2 linked regions of the Elephas maximus indicus genome follow. Each later gene encodes a partner of the first gene's protein in a complex. Links are inferred from orthologs where the notes say so. Each region holds a gene or a part of one and is shown in the gene's direction. Other genes may lie near its edges.

Evidence for each region. The genes of interacting proteins can lie anywhere in the genome.
Region 2: the proteins of DLC1 (region 1) and TNS2 are in contact, whole or in part, in an NMR structure (PDB 2LOZ), measured with the Homo sapiens proteins. The link is inferred for Elephas maximus indicus from reciprocal best matches to the Homo sapiens genes DLC1 and TNS2. Residues at the interface, in NP_001335010.1 of Homo sapiens: Glu811, Asp812, His813, Lys814, Pro815, Gly816, Thr817, Phe818, Pro819, Ala821, Leu822, Thr823, Asn824; in NP_736610.2 of Homo sapiens: Asp1268, Leu1269, Leu1270, Arg1271, Gln1272, Gly1273, Ala1274, Ala1275, Cys1276, Lys1317, Ser1319, Ala1320, Gln1321, Thr1324, Leu1387, Asp1388, Pro1389, Asp1390, Gln1391, Val1403, Leu1404, Leu1405, Gly1406.

The regions. Positions count from the first base shown.
Region 1 is NC_064840.1:73,077,910-73,085,843, reverse strand, and holds the start of DLC1 (rho GTPase-activating protein 7), read left to right. Parts: upstream 1-4,923; 5' UTR 4,924-5,129; intron 5,130-5,570; exon of another isoform or gene 5,571-5,973; intron 5,974-7,934. UniProt on the Homo sapiens protein: Functions as a GTPase-activating protein for the small GTPases RHOA, RHOB, RHOC and CDC42, terminating their downstream signaling.
Region 2 is NC_064822.1:108,563,240-108,571,253, forward strand, and holds the start of TNS2 (tensin-2), read left to right. Parts: upstream 1-5,005; 5' UTR 5,006-5,143; coding exon 5,144-5,218; intron 5,219-7,700; exon of another isoform or gene 7,701-7,799; coding exon of another isoform or gene 7,800-7,874; intron 7,875-8,014. Other genes in the region: EIF4B (eukaryotic translation initiation factor 4B), read left to right, coding at 107-215, 496-568, 1,150-1,230. UniProt on the Homo sapiens protein: Tyrosine-protein phosphatase which regulates cell motility, proliferation and muscle-response to insulin. Phosphatase activity is mediated by binding to phosphatidylinositol-3,4,5-triphosphate (PtdIns(3,4,5)P3) via the SH2 domain.

The DNA.
Region 1 (7,934 bases):
TGGTGATTTGAACTGCCCACCTTTTGGTGAGCAGCTGTAGCACTTAACCACTGCATCACCAGGGCTCCTGCATAGAAGGTGAGAACTCTTATCATTGAACCAACATTGCCTTCAGAACAGTAACTATACAATGTATATGTGTGAATGGATACTAAGCATGTTTTTGTATTCTGAAGGTCTCCAGTGGTTCCATTTTAAAGGGAAAAATACAAATATATATTTACATTTTAACAGAAATGGAACAGACATTCTTTCAAGGATATAAGCCTTTGTACCAACTGTGTGGCCTTCTGATGATAGGCTGAGAATGCTGCTCCATTCTTTATAGTAGATAGAGCACTTGTTAAGGAGACAGGCAGAATGACCATCAAAGGGCAGGGATGTGGTTGGAGCGGAGATCTGACTGAGGAGAGAGCATCTGGACCCAGCATTGAGGAGTCTGGACATAGGCAATCTCACCTGTTTTCCCAGGTGAGCACAAGGTTAGGAGAGAATATTCAGCCGCCATTTGAAAAGCTACAGGAGAAGCCAGACGGAGTGTGGGCTCAAGCCAAATGTGAGGAGGAACATTTTTTGAGTTGACTAAAGATGTAGGAATATTTTCGAGCCATGATATGAGAATGTCAGGGAACACTATGGTAAAGCTTAGCAAATATGACTGGAGTGAGACATACGGTGATGTTAGCTTCAGTTTTCATACAGAATGATTGTACGATACGAGCTAGCCCTCTACTAGATGGGCACCCCAGACCTCTCGATAATGGAACCAGCCTTGCATGACTTGTCATCTTCATGTTTCTGAGAGTAACCTAGCCGTTGTGGACAGGCAGCGAGAGCCATCAGCTTCTAAGGTCATATATATTCAAGTAACTTTCTGCGAATAGAATTTTTTTCTTTTTCTTTTTGCTAAGTATATTCTTTCAAAGCAATTGGAAATTTATCAAAGTTTTTTTTTTTCTTTGTAATCATTTCTGGATTGTAATAATTTTCCGCGAAGCAAAGCAAGGAATATAATAATCCAAGAAACAGGTATAATTGGTTTTGGGAGTTTCAGTAATTTTGCTAACTTGGTTAGTTTAACATCAAACTTACATAATTGTGTTCCTTTGATAAATACTCTCAGATGAATACTAAATGGCTAGAAAAAGTGGTGTGTCAAAACTTTAATACTGTTGATTAGAAAGACTAATAATACATAAGCAGATTATTAACTATAAACAATACAGTTGTATGGTCATTTTTTTCTACCTCTGTGTGTGTGCCTATCAAGATCAACTTACTGGATGAAAGTTCATGTTGAAGCTACTGAAAAATTACTAGAAATGCTGTCAAATGAATTATATTTTTATTGCTTTGACATACATGTGATAACTCCAATAAAATAGAAGCTAAGTGCCATTAAATAGGAATTTGTAGATGATCAATGTTCACAGACAAAGCCCTCCTACATTTGTTTCACCAGCTGTACATGCGTGGACATTTCTAAAGTGCTTTGAAGGCTTTTGTTCTCTCTACATATTAATTACAAATTCATTACTATCATGAAACTAACCCATCATAAAAATATAAAGAATAAGAATAGAAGCCTACTTCACTGAAGAGACTGGAAATGTCAAATGTAGGTACTGAAATTATTGATGAATTTGTGAAAGAGTAAAACATCACTTTCAAAGATTGATCTCACTTTGCAGTCAAAGGATTATTGGACTGCATTGAAGTCATTGAACAATTCTGTTAAAGAAGTCCAGATTCAGATTTCCTGAAAATAATTGAGGAATTACTGGATAGACTCTCATAAACCAAAACCAAACCCGTTGCTGTCAAGTTGGTTCCGACTCTTAGCAACCCTACAGGACAGAGTAGAACGGCCTCGCAGAGCTTCCAAGGAGCACCTGTTGGATTAGAACCACCAGCCTTTCGGTTAGCAGCCGTAGCACTTAACCACCACGCCACCAGGGTTTCCTAGACTATCACAGACAGTGTTTATTGCTTAGATCATGGTACGTGAGAAGACAGTTGATCTTCAAAATAACTCTGAATCTTCCTTACGCCAGTCCCTTCTCTTCCCACAGAGCATGTGACTGCTCCACTAGCAAAATTGTTCTACACGTATACATTCAACTCAGGGGTCAATAGGCGGGTAGTTAGATAGATAAATAGATACTAAAAATATCACAGAAGAGAGCAGGATCACAATGTACAATTATTTAAATGATAAAAATAATAGTACCTAACACTGACCGCCGCGGAAACACCCCTACGTGGTGCAGTTCACATTCTCGGGTGCTCACGGAAAGGCTGGAGGTTTGATTTCACTCAGAGGTGCCTCGGAAGAAAACCCCAGTGATCCATTTTTGAAGAAATCAGTCCTTGAAAAGCCTATGGAGCACAGCTCTGCTTTGATACCCACGGGGTAGCCGTGAGTTGGAATCAGGTTAAGGGCAACTGTTTTTAACCTTGAACGCTGCACTAGTCAGAAAGTCTTAAGGCTTTATGTAACTATCTTCTGTAATTTTGAAAGCAAAAAAAAAAAAAAAACTTAGTTACACAGGCTAAAACTGAAGCTTCTAGAGGTTAAGAAATTTGCACAGAGTCACATGGGATGCTAGCCTGGAGCCAGATGTCTATCTGGATGTTCTGTTTTCAAGTTCTTAACTGCCTCGATAGCATACTTTATTAGCCGATGGGGCTTGGAGTAATAGGCACACCTTTGCTGGAGTAAGGTATTTAGATTTACAAATAAAAGGAGAAGGGGACAGATACTTCGGAGCTCTTTCATGTGCCTGACACTGTGATAAGAATTAAGGAAGTCATCTCATTATTTATCTTTATACTCATATTTGGTAAAGCCTTTATGAGTGTGTAAGTTCTGGGATTTGTCTGGAGTCAAGCAACTGAAAGATGAAAAATAAATGAGTGATTAAAGATTGAGGAAGTAATCCTTCTCAGCGTAGAATAAAACATGGCATCTTCCTTGATTAGAGAAAAGAAACTGACTAATAAAGAGTATCTGGATATCTAAAAAAGGTATTTTATAACTGTATGTGAACAGGGTTTTGATGTTTCCTCAGACCAGGATAAACAGAAACAAAGCTAAGTTGTGTAAGTGGAGAAAGGTTATACTATTCATCAGGAGAACCTAGCTAAACAGCATCAGCAGGCGACTGATATTGATTGAGTTCCTACTATACACCAGGACTAGAGGCAAAAAAAAAAAAACCCGTTACCCTCGAGTAGAGTCCAACTCATAGCAACCCTATAGGACAGTGTCGAACTGCCCCATAGAGTTTCCAGGGAGCACCTTGTGGATTCAAACTGCTGTGCTTTCGTTAGCAGCCAAGCTCTTAACCACTATGCAACCGGGGCTCCAGAGACAAATATAGAGATACATAAATTATTTTAGGAAGAAGTTCCATCAATTCTCATTCCACGCCACTCTAGTATTTTTCTTAGGAAAACAAGTACAAACATGTAAATATATGTGGATATGAATTTAATTGTCTCTAATCTGTGAGTTATGTAGAATTGTCCCTATGGTTAAAGAAGAATCTGAAACTCAGAAAGTTTAAGACGTCTTCCCAACTTCACACAACAATTAAGCCAGAAGCCAAGAGAGGCAGAACTGTTACAGGGGGAAAAGAAGCACAAAACGTAGAAGACCTGAGTTGCAATCTGACCTTGGCCACATTCCATCATTTGTCCGTAAGAAAATTACTTCTACAAATTTATAATTCTTTATCTGTAAAATGGGAATGCGTGCAAAGATTAAATGGGCATGGTGTTGGAGGAAGTACTTTGAATATGAACATAAATAATCCTTCAAAGAATTTATGAAAGAATGTACTTCCTTCTTGGCATACATTTGAAAGTTAAAGGGACTCTAAACAGCCATTTTTCTGATCAGTGATGTTATGGTCTAAGCTTTGAGAAACTGCTTCTGCCGTCATGTTTTTATTTGAATACTTCTCACCTTCAAATTCATGTGCCATATAAATCATTATTATTATTTGCCATTTAACATATCTGTAAAGTTGTCCGTGCCCTGCACTGATTTTGGGAGAATTTAATTATTCATTAAGAAGGGAGGTAGTAGCTATAAGGCCATACTTCTTTAAGTTATCACCTACCCAACATTCTCAGGGTGTACTGAGGAGATGGCTCAGTCCTATTCAGATATCTGCCAACATTTACAGAAATTAGAGCCAACTGGGAATAAAAGTGAACATGAAAGCTACTTAAATTTCAAAGAAGTGCAGGAAAGATCTTAGGGCCAATAGGTTTAATGTTTCTTGTCTGTCTTTGAGTGTTACCCATTTATCATACTTGAGCTGGAATTGTCCTTGTCCCTCCTATTATTGAAAATCCCTAGGAATTTAGGGACAGACCCAATAATTGGATTGGTGATCACCAATCCCTGAAAAAAATGTTTCAGCCATACATAACAGTAGACTGTTGATTGTAAATAAAGTAGAAGGGGAAAATTACAGAGCAATTTAAACTCAGCAAGATAATTAAACTCAGAGACACTGTTCTCCGCTTCTCCGGTCTAAACAAAGAAGTCCCCCCACTGACCTCTCTACAAACTGGATGTCCCAAGGCCATGTCCCTCTGCTCTCCTTCCACTTTGCCTAAGGAGTACGCTGGGTCATAAGGGAATGAGAATGGTTGTGACTTCTTCCCTGAAACGGCTCACGCTTCCTCTGCTTTTGTATTTGTGACATTTTATTACAAGAGGAGCTAACATCTATTATTAATTGATGCACTAATTAAAGCCATACTTGCAGTTTCCATTAGCTTATTCCCTAAATTCTCCGGAGTTGGCTGTCTGGTTTTAATCAAAACCAAATGGTAGTCCAAGTTCCCAGCGTGGAGCAGCTAGGAGGAAGTCATTCAGTGGAGGCACGAGAAAGCAGAAAAGATAAACAGATGATGTTCACAAAAATCGTGTCGGGCATAGGGTGTTGGTACCGTGAGCTGCTTTAGAGACGTGATTCAGAGACTCTGTCGTGTTAGGTGGAAGCAGTCGCAAAGTATTTAATGTCAGCAGGATTCTAATATGATCAAGATGGAGTCTGTCTCCTGCCTTTCCAGCCCTGGATTTGTGTAAGTCTGGAGGATTCTGACTAGAGGTAAAGCTGCTTATGCCACAACCCACAACCACTTTGATTCGTGACAGCGATTTGGGATTGGAGAGATCTTGAAGAAAACGTTGGATTTACTGGGTTCTTGGAATTGTAGATTTTCTCAGGTGCTATCTGTAGAGCAGCAGCACTTTGAAGTTTTAAGGAGTGGGAAAAGGGTTTTAAAATTTAGAAGAATTACGGTATTAAAACTCTACATTCATCTTGCTCTCTTAAAAGATCTTTTGAAAGGAGCACTGGCAAAGGTATTTTGGCTAAGCTGTGTATATGCATTGAATGTAGTGGAAAGGTTGTAGCTGGGGAAGAGAACTGTGTTTTCTTTCTTTCTTTTTTTCTTTCATCAGCAACGTGGGCTAGAAAAAGCTCTAAGACTTTATGACTCTCCAGCTAATCACCTCAAGAGCTTTGACAAACTCACTTCAGTTCTGTGTAAAATCAGAATTCCTAAAACGCCCAGCCGGGCTCTGCTCTCTCTCGCTCCCCTCCCCAACTGCAGTCTTTCTCACATACACACTACTCAGAGGCAGGAAATACTTTCCAGGCAATCTGGGCCTGGTTGTGGAGGCCCCTTTCGCAAAACATCAGTCTGAATTGAGTAGACAGAAGTCACCAGGAACGCCTTGACAGAATCCTGCTTTAGCTAAGGCTCCCTCCAGCTGCGGAGGGTGTTTTGGTTAGAATCACACACTGCGTAAAACTGCTTAGAATAGAGCCATGATCTCAACCACGAAATGTGAACTTGTATTCTGGAGAAACTAACGGGACGGACTTCTTTCATAGCCCGAGTGTTGAACAGTGTCTTGCCTGGGCGTCTCAGCTTCTCGTTGTCTAGGTAAGAAGGTCTGCTGGGCTCTGTCTTTATACTTGGAGGTAATCGTTGGAGAGGTGGAAAGACTGAGATAAATGTTAGCACCTTGGACCCGAGGGGTGTCTTCCTAGGTTTTTGAGTTAAGCCATGAAATCAGAAGTGAAAAATGTTTACTAAGTAGAAAACTGTGAGTCAAATAGTTTTAGCAAAATGTCATTTCTAAAACAGCCTCCATATAGATTTTACTCTTTTCCTCCATAAAGTAAGATTTTATTTTGATCCCTTTTTATTCTTAACTTATTTATTAATTGAGCTATAAGAGCAGTTTTTCGAACACATGAGATAAAATGTAACGCATATATGTTCTAACACGTAGGGATGAGATGTGAATAGATTCCATTTTTTTTTTTTTAAACCGTCTTTTGCCCACAGGGAGAGTAGATATTAGTAGGGTAACTGCTTTAATAATGAATCTCCTAAGACAGCTGATTTGTGTCGCATTTACGATTATGACTATTGGGTTCCTCAATATCTCTGCATATCAGTTTCAACTACAGGTCAAGCTGTTTGTGTAGAGCTTAAAAAAAAAAAGTAACAAATGCATGAAATTTCAGAACTTATTTCTGCCCTAACTAGTATTTCATCTGAGTTTCAGAAATTGAAATATCACACTTATTATTTAATTTATATATTTCCTTTTCTGAATTCACTGATCAGGTTGTATTTTCTGTGGATGTTTTTGAAAGATGAAAGTAAACCTTAATGACAATGCCGTTCATTATTACTGTTTTAGGACAGCCGGAAATCTCCACAATCATATGAAAGATGGATCAAGCATCCATGCTTCATATAACCATAAAACTACATGTCTAAAGGACTATGGTGCCACCACATCTACCTTAAAGGGTTAAATATGCAAGATATGAGGAAAGAAACTTTATATTACTGAAATAGCATGGACTACCAATGCATAGCATATTGTTACATTTATACCTTCAAATATTTAGAATAAACACCATTATTTTCTGGACATAACATGGAATGGTGTAAAAGGGAGCAAAGATTCAGGCACATTACCGAGTCAGTTAGAGTAACTCATCTGTTAGTACACTGAATGAAAGTTGGAGAGCTACTTTGACAGCTGGGTCATAAAAAAATCAAATGTTTTAATGATGAGCTTTTACATAGTACAGGGTGGCCATTTACTGGATAAGTTAATTTATTCTTAAAATCTATGCTAGAATAACATATTGATATGTTTTAACCGTTCACTAACAATTTGTCATGTTGAAACTTTCAATCCATGAGAAAAAGGATCGATGTATCTATAAATGTTAAATATATGTATATACTGACTTATCTACAGTGTAGCTTAATAAAATCCTTGAAGAGAATTTCGGGGAAGGAGAGAACGTAAGAGATCATCTTTTCCAACAGTGCCCTCAGGCTTCTGACAAGGGGACTGAGGAATGGCATTCTTAAGTGACCTGTCCAAGATCATACCACTCGCTAGTGAAGAGAGGACAGTGAAACACAGTCCCCCAATTCATGGTCCAGACATCTCTACAGCACAGCGTGTTGCTCTCAGATAATGTGCAAAATGAAGTATGAGCGTGTCCAGGAGAAAAGGCTACTTCGCAGACAGAAATTGGAGTGCCTCTTAAAAACAAAAAAAAAAGGTTTAAAGCTGCCACTAGTGTTACTTACGTGGGAAACAAAAAAATCAAGGTTTCAAAAAAAAAGCAAGTTTACTAAGTAATACAGTTTTCTCAAATGCACAAGTTTTCTTAAAAATATTTACTGTGGCTTTAGCCAGCACTGTAAATGAATAACTTGTTTTGTGATCGTTCTGTCACATCTCATGTTCGTGCCAGGAAAATCGCTCCATGTGCTAATAATTATATTAATTTTAAACTGGTGTTTCTTAGAAACACAGGGCTAGACGAGAGTTTGACTAATTCATATCCTTGTATTCAAATGGTATC
Region 2 (8,014 bases), on another chromosome or scaffold:
ATTTCCTTCACTACATAGGGACACACATTTCTTCAGCTTAAGGGAAACCTAGGAGAAGGGAGAGTATGTCTTCTACCTGCCCTCAATTTATGTTTTCTCTCTCAAGCAGATGAAAATAAAGTAGATGGGTTAAGTGTCCCAAAAGGCCAAAGTGGGAACTCCAGCCGTGGTCCAGGAGATGGAGGGAACAGAGACCACTGGAAGGAGTCTGATAGGTATGTTCTCTTTCTTGTCATTCGTGAATCTTTCATCCCGTGCTAGATACAAGTGTCTTTGTAATTAAGAAGTTCTTGGTTCTCTAATTAACTGCCAGATCTCTCACTGTGGACAAACTAAAGTCAGCCAATAAAGATAGGTACAATTCTGAGAATCTAGAAATAGTAAAATGTCCAGATAGCAAGGACTGGTGATTGGAGGTATCTGTTCAGTGCCTCAGAGTTGCGGGGTCAGGGGGGTCCTCTCCTAAAGATGGGGTTTTGTGCTTAATCTCTGCAGGAAAGATGGCAAAAAGGATCAAGACTCTAGATCTGCACCTGAGCCAAAGAAACCTGAAGAAAATCCAGCCTCTGTACGTGTTAAAGGCTTCAATTTCTCTCAGGTCACACTTATTCTGAAATGCCACTTTTAAAGGATCTTGATATTTTCACTTTTGCCATTGGACTCCTTAACATTTGGGACTACAAGTAGAGTGGTTGGAAATGAGACTTTGGTGTTTGTTTGAAATAGTACATGAAGCCACATACCTGATTTTAGGCATTTCGTATCTCGGCCACTGGGAGCTGTCAAATGAGGAATTGCTGTTCTTCTAGAGCAGATGGGCTCCTTGATGTCTTTACTCTGACTCCTTCCAAACAGCCATGCCTGTTGCTGTTTCTTTGACCCCTTTTATAGGTCAGAAAACTCTAGAATGAATGGTCTTGGGTGGCGACTGATGGTAGATAAATTGGTTTTCCCCTTTTGTACCTTTGACTGCACTCGCTCCTTCACGGAATGAAGGTAAAAGATGCTGTGTGACTACAGTTATGCCAATGAGCAAGTGGCTGTAATCTGGGCATTCATTCTCCTTTTGCCAAAGTATCTGTGTTCTTTTTCTTGAGTTTTGATGTGGGAGTTCAAGGCCTTTGTTATTTTCACTCTAATCTGTTACAGAAATTCAGTTCTGCAAGCAAGTATGCTGCTCTCTCAGTTGATGGTGAAGATGAAAACGAGGGAGAAGATTACGCCGAATAGACCTCTATGTCCTGTGCTTTCTCCTAGTCTCTCTCCACCCTGGAACATTCAAGAGCAAATCAAACCTCTGTCCAGACACGACAAAATAAAACTCACCATCTCCTGGAGACCTTTCTTAACTTTTTTTTTTTTTTTTAATGAAATTCTTTTGCATGCTGCTGCAGCCTTTAAAGTATTGAACTAACTGGAGAATCACCAATGTCGCCAGAGAGAAAAAGACGCAGCTTCCAGAGGAAAAGCTGTGCATTTTATGACACCATGCAGTTGTCTGTGTGATTAGTGTCTAGAGGCCTCCATTTAGCAGAAGTGGTAATGACAGTGATTCAGTGTCTGGAAGCTGGCTGGGCAGTACCCAAACCCAGTGCCGTGGTAGGGCAGGTATAAGGGAGAGCGCGAGAGTTCTACCTTTTAATTCTTATTATTCTATTGTGGCATATATGAATTCTGAAACATTATCTCAATAAATTGTCCATCCTTGGAAGGTAGGTTAAATAGTCTCTGAGGTTGTTTTAGTCTCTGGGAGGCTGCTAGTCCCTGGGGCCAGCCTAGGGGGAATTCTTCCATTTTTACCCCCCAGGGGGGTAGTAGGGAGTGAGTCTACAGGCCTTTGTGAAAGAATAGGACTGCTTGGTGACCAAAAATATGGGAAAATCAAGAAGCTTTGGCAAGTATTTCTTTTGCACCAGGTAATAGGGAAATGGTATGACCTCCGATAAATACATGAATGGTTTTTTTTCCTGGAGTAGGAAGCACTTAGGTGTTGTGGGAATTCCTGGGTCATATGTGTCCTGGTTTTGCCCTTTCTAAACACTCTTTTCTGAAACTTCAAGTATATCCACGTTCTGTCAGCCTTGAAGCTTATAAAGGTCTAGACTTGTCATTATCTTAGTGTTCCTTACACTGTTCTTTATTGTTACATCCCAGAAAATCAGCTTCTATGTAAGTCACATACCTGATTTTAGGCATTTTGTATCTCAGCCTCTGGAAGCTGTCAGGTGAGGAATCACTGTTTTTCTCAAGCGAATGGGCTCCTTGATGTCTTTATTCTCTCACTCCTTCTCATCAGCCGGGCCTGCTCCTGTTACTTTGACCCCTTTTACAGATCAGAAAACTCAGAATTAATGGTCTTTGGTGGTGAATGAGAGTAGATAAATAGGGACAGTTAAATTGAGAGCCTTAACAACCTTGATTTTTTTTTTTTTTAACACATTTCCTTCTCTCCACTGATAATCCCACACGAGTGTTTTATAATGTGGCCTAGACGTGTGTGTGTGTGTGCGTGTGCATGTATGCCTGCGTGTTTAGCTTCACTTGAGAGAATAAATGACAGAACTGTAACAAGGTCCTGGTTTCTCTTACAACACAGTAGCTTAACTTGCCTGCTTTTATATGCGCCTTTGTACGGGTCACCTTGGTAGATGGTGTCCTTCCAGTGGTACCTGCAGAGAAATGACACCTTGGTCTCTTGTTTGCAAGCCCTTCTGCCATCGGGCCCTAGGTTGGCCACGCAGGGGTGTTGGTTGGTTCGCCGTGGCACTAAGCATAATGAATCATCTACCCAGTGGGCAGGAAAGCTCTACCAAGTAAATTAACTTTAAGTAATGAGCATGGATTGGTCAGAAACTAGGAAATGGGCTTTTAGAGAGAGAGACACAAGGTTGAAATTTTTTATTTTTAAAACCATTTGCTGTAGATAATGAGAAGTAGGGTTTACCCTCTTCATGCCTACTCTCCTTCCAAATAGTTGTGTCCAAAAGAGCTGTTCTTTCCCGTTCCCTTGCTCTGCCCTCCTGTTAAAGCAGAAACTGATTGATTTATGTCCAGCTCCTGAATACATGTAAAATTTGTACAAAAATATCTTCTATGAAAATGATTTGTAATCTGTAGACTTAATACCTGGGAGATGTAAAATCCCCATCCTTTGGGTTGTGGGTTTTTTTGTTTTCTCCAAATAAATCTGATCTTTAAAGTTCATTTTAATGCAGAAATTCTTTGACATATGCTCCCCACTCCCACTGCTTTTTACTGAACTCACATTGACACCCCAGCCTGCTCCATCCCCACCATCTCTAAAGTTCTCCTTCAGCACTAGATCTGTTTTGTGCAAAACCAGAGGGTAGATTTACAAGAGAAATCTATTTTGATGCTTACTGAAGCCCTAAGACAACTCTCACACCAGCTCCCCTCCAGGTTAACCTTTACTGTATCAGCTGAGCTTGCCTGTAGTATACCTTTCAGGCATGAGATGTCCCGAGGGTAAATCTTCACATGCATGGGTCAGTTCCTCTGCAAACGCTTGCCCTTACTTCAGTCCAGAGGTGTTACTTTGCTGGGTTACCCCGCTCTGGTGGGATGAAGTTCTGGGTGACAGGCTGGCCTGGGCTACCACAACTGAGGCCGCTTGAGATCATCCCTCAGACCTAGCAGGAATTTTCCAAACAGAAGAACAGACTGGTCATTGTTGCAAAGTAGAAAAGGAGTTAGGACAGTGGCAGAGAGTCCTTAAGGTCACGAGGGGTGGAGCATAGAAGACCCAGGAAGCTTCAGTCAATTTGGGGGACTTGGAGCCAAGGGATGTGAAGAAGGGGCACACAGTTAAACTGCCTCACAGGGCCAGCTGGAGCAGCTGCTCTTCATGCGCTGATCTTGGTTCTCCAAAGTCAGCAAGTTGAGGGATAAGGCTCAGTGTGCTGTGATGATACAGAAGCCATTCAGTGTGGGTGTAGGTAGGGAGGAAAAGGTGCCCCTGCTCAGGCTGCCTGTGGTGCCTATAAAACAGTGCTTGTTTGCCCAGCTGCGGCACAGGAAGTGGCCTTGGTCACCTTCATTCTCCAAGCCTCCAGTTTAAGTCCCTCCCCTCCTGTGAAATAGTGAGGTCTGGGTAAATAATGATGAAAAGGCAGACAAAAGCAGAAAGGCTGACTTAAAGAGGCTTATGTGGGTTGTGCACAGAAAAGGTACGGAACGAGGCACTCCAGAACTAGGACCACCAGTTGCCGTTGAGTCAATTCATGGCAGCCCGTATGGTTCAGGGTAGAGCTTTGCTCCATGGTTTTGATGGCTGTGATCCTTCTGAAGCAGACCATCAGGCCTTCCGAGGTGCCTCTGGGTGGGTGTAAACCACAAGCCTTTCAGGTAACCATTTGTGCTACCCAGGGACTCCTAAGTTCCAGGAAAAGCTATAGGCTTTGCTGTGCCCCACATCCTCAGTTATATCAGGGTGTGTGGGTCCTCTTAGAAGCCCAGCAGCAGAAATGGATCCCAGGACTGGCCAGCTTGCACTCTCAGTTTACTGTAAATCATGAGCAAACAGGAAGGTGGGTGAAGGGTATATGGGTGCAGCATCTCAGCTGTAGGCTGGGCGAGTTCCCTGTGTATTCCAGTCCCCTAAACAATCCAACGCTAACAACTGTGTTCTGCGTTACAAGGCAATGAGGGTCTGGGTGAGTGCTGAGGGCGTCGCCTCAAGTGCTACTCAGGCTCACAGCATCTGGTTTCTCAGGAAATGGAAGAGCTGCACTGCTGCTCCTGGGAAGCTGTATTTGTCACATATCCTTGTTTCTCAGCAACCACTGTAGCCCCTAGGGCCACAAGTGAAGAAGGGGGAACTTGCCTTTCATCACCCACCCCACTCCTCAAAAAGGAGTTTGGAAGGGTCGGGCTGTGCTGCTCCCCGCCCAGCTGCAGCAACCTCCCGGTTGGACAATACACCCTCTGTCCTCAGGGCCAGGAGATCCGCCTCTGGAGTCAGTTCATCCCCTTCCCCCGCTCTTCCTGGTTTCCAGCGCCTAAATCCTCCACCGAAGTTCCCCTGACCCAGTGCTTTTCCAGCCAGGACACCCCCACACCCTCAATGTCCCTCTTCTGTAGCACCCCTACCACTGCAAGGATCTGAGCACACGCAGTCACAGGCATGGGATCACCCCAGACTATGGAAGAAGGGGTTCAGCCTTTGGTGCCAAGATGGGCTGCCTTCTGCATAGTCAAGGTAAGAAAACCTACATGGAGGGAGGGTCAGAGGGTATCCCTAAAATTGTTTCACCCTCATTAACATTCTCCTGGCTTTCCCTTTCCTCTCCCCCTCCCTTCTGAAGTTCCCACTGTTCTGAGCTGCTAATCAGAGTGCCTGGCTGGGCTTCATTTACCACCCATTTTTATTTCACTCCCACCAAGCCACCTTCTATAAGATTTTTCACTCCCAACCTTCTCATCAGCTTCTTTCCTGCAGCCTCCTTCCCCCAACCCTTAGTCTCCATGTTGAGAGTAGGATTCAAGTTTGAGTTGGGAGTTCAGCTACCTGTCTTGTGGCCCTCCCCCAACTTCTCAGGACCTCAGAAGTTCCTCTTGTGGGCCCATCAGTCAAGGCAGCAATACCGGCATGTGTGAGGTCCTAGCTCTACCCACCTCTCTGGGATCCAATCCTCTTCTCCGAGTCCCAATCTCTCCCTCAATACCCACATGAAATGCATCCTAGTCTCCAGCCAAAGACCCTAATGAACATTGGGAAGGGCAAGATGTTAAGAGCCAGCTGTAGGCTCCAAAGACATAAGGAAATCATATCATCTGTATCTTGCTTATGTAATCAAATCTTGGCAAAATACACAGCATGACCTTCAGTCCTGCCCTTTCCCCAGTAGCCTCCAATCTCTGCCACTCTTCTCTGTCTTAACTCTGCCTCTCGCCTCCTCCCTGTGTCTCTACCCCTTCCCTCCAAGACCCCACCACATCACCACCCCTAGCCCCCAGCCCTTCCTCCAGACCCTGGTGACTCTCACTGATCTAACCTCTGAAACTGCTTACTGGACACCAACTCAGCCAAGAGTGGTAAAATAAAAGCTTCCCAGTCCCAGCCATACCAACCCCACCCCACCCAAAAAAAAACACTGCTGTCAAGTCGATTCTGACTCATAGCGACCCTACAGGACAAAGTAGAACTGTCCCGTAGGGTTTCCAAGGAGTGGCTGGTGGATTCACACTGCTGACTTTTTGGTTAACAGCTGAGCCACTCCACCACCAGGGCTCCATCCCAGCCACACCAGCCCCCGCCAAAGGCTGGTTTCAGAGGGACCCACATTGTCACCATGCTCTGCTTCAGTCTCCTCCCTGCCGCCAACTTGGACTCAGGTGCTCCACCCCCTTCTAATAGGAACCATATTTCCCAGCCTCTGCCAGAGGCAAGATGAGGACAGAAAGAGACCCAGCTGAAAGATGGGACAGGGAGGGAAAGAGGGTCTTAGCGCTGGGGGCACTGGCTGCTTTGAGCAGGCACTGGGCATTGAGCCCTGGGCACTGAATTCTCAGAATCCAGAATCCACCTTCCCCCCTCCCTGAGCCCCCCCTTACCAGTTTTCATCATGGAAATTCTAGTGGGGAGGGTGAGGGAGAGAGGAAGTTTCAGGAAGTGCTCACTGTTAAAGAACGTTAGGGAATCTGGGCATGGCAGTAGGCTCAGAGCTTTTAGGAAGACATCCCCTCTTTCATCCCTCCCCTCCCACTTCCCCTCCAGGGTGGCACAATTCAAACCACCCTCAGCACCCATTTAGCTCCATTTCAGGAAGCTCCTATTCAATACTAGATCCAGAAACTGCAAAAGAAGGGAATGAGGTTAGATTATAGAAGGAACTTTAATCATCATTGGGGAAGCCTGGGACTTGAGTTAAATATAAGCAAGACTTTCTTGAACAGATGTCTCCTAAGGAGTGGGAATGACCATCCAGCTCCGAAGTAGGGCAATGGTTGGGATGACTGGAGCTGCATGTGGGGAGGCACTGGTTGAGCACAATATGGGGTCCTCTGGTGTGAGTCCTTTTGCAGGCATAGGTGACATCAAAGTCTCCCGTGAGGCAGAGGACCAGGAAAGGGTGTCAGGCAACTTGGCACACAAGTAACACCAGGTGTCTTCACCTGATTCTGGCGCCCCGTGGGCAGATGGGCCTGGCCTCACCAGGCCAGGCCGCGGGTGGGTCCCGGCTGGGGCTTTGGGGTCAAGCCCAGTGCCAAACAAGCTCCTGTGAAGGGGGCAGGCTGCGAGAGACCGGGCAGTTCTCGGCACTTTTGATTCTACTCCCTACGGGGCCAATGTCCACCTTTCCTTCGGCGTCTGTCTGGCTCGGGTGTTTCTTTTTGCCTGTGTCCCTCCAGGTCAGCCTCTCCTCGACTGTCTGTTGCCATCTCTGGGTTTCTCCCTGTCTCTGAAATTTTCCTGTCCCTGTGTTCTCCATGCCTTTCTCAAAATCTTTTTCCCGATCTCTTAGTCTCTTCCTGTCAGAGTCTCTCCCTGACTCTTCCTCTGACCGTCTCTGCGTTCCTCTTGCTTCTTGTCTCTTTGTGAGTCTGCGTTCGCGGGAGAAGGTGGAGAGAAGACGGAGAAAGGAGAGAGGCCGAGGGGGCGGGGAGCGGGCGGAACGTGGGGATTGGAGCCGGGGCGAAGGAGGGAGGGAGGAAAGGGGCGAGGGAGAGGGCGGCCGTGGCCGCGGGGAGCGGCGGGGTGGGAGGGAGCCCGGCCGGCCGAGCGCGGCGCGCCCGCTCCCCTCCTCCTGCTGGTCCCGCTCGGCAAGGGCCCCGGCGGGATGGGCTGGCCCGGGGGCAACCCCTGCTGCTGCCCCGCCCCGGTGCGCCCCCGCCCCGCCGGGCGCCCCCCGCAGGTGAGTGGCCGAGCCGCGCTAGGCCGGAGGGCGGTGGCCTCTGCGTCACGGCTGAGCGGGCAGTGCCGGGGGCGGGCGCCAGGGGGCGCGCGGAGTGGGGTGGGCTCCCCATGTTTGGGGGTCCGGGCGGGCCTTGGTGA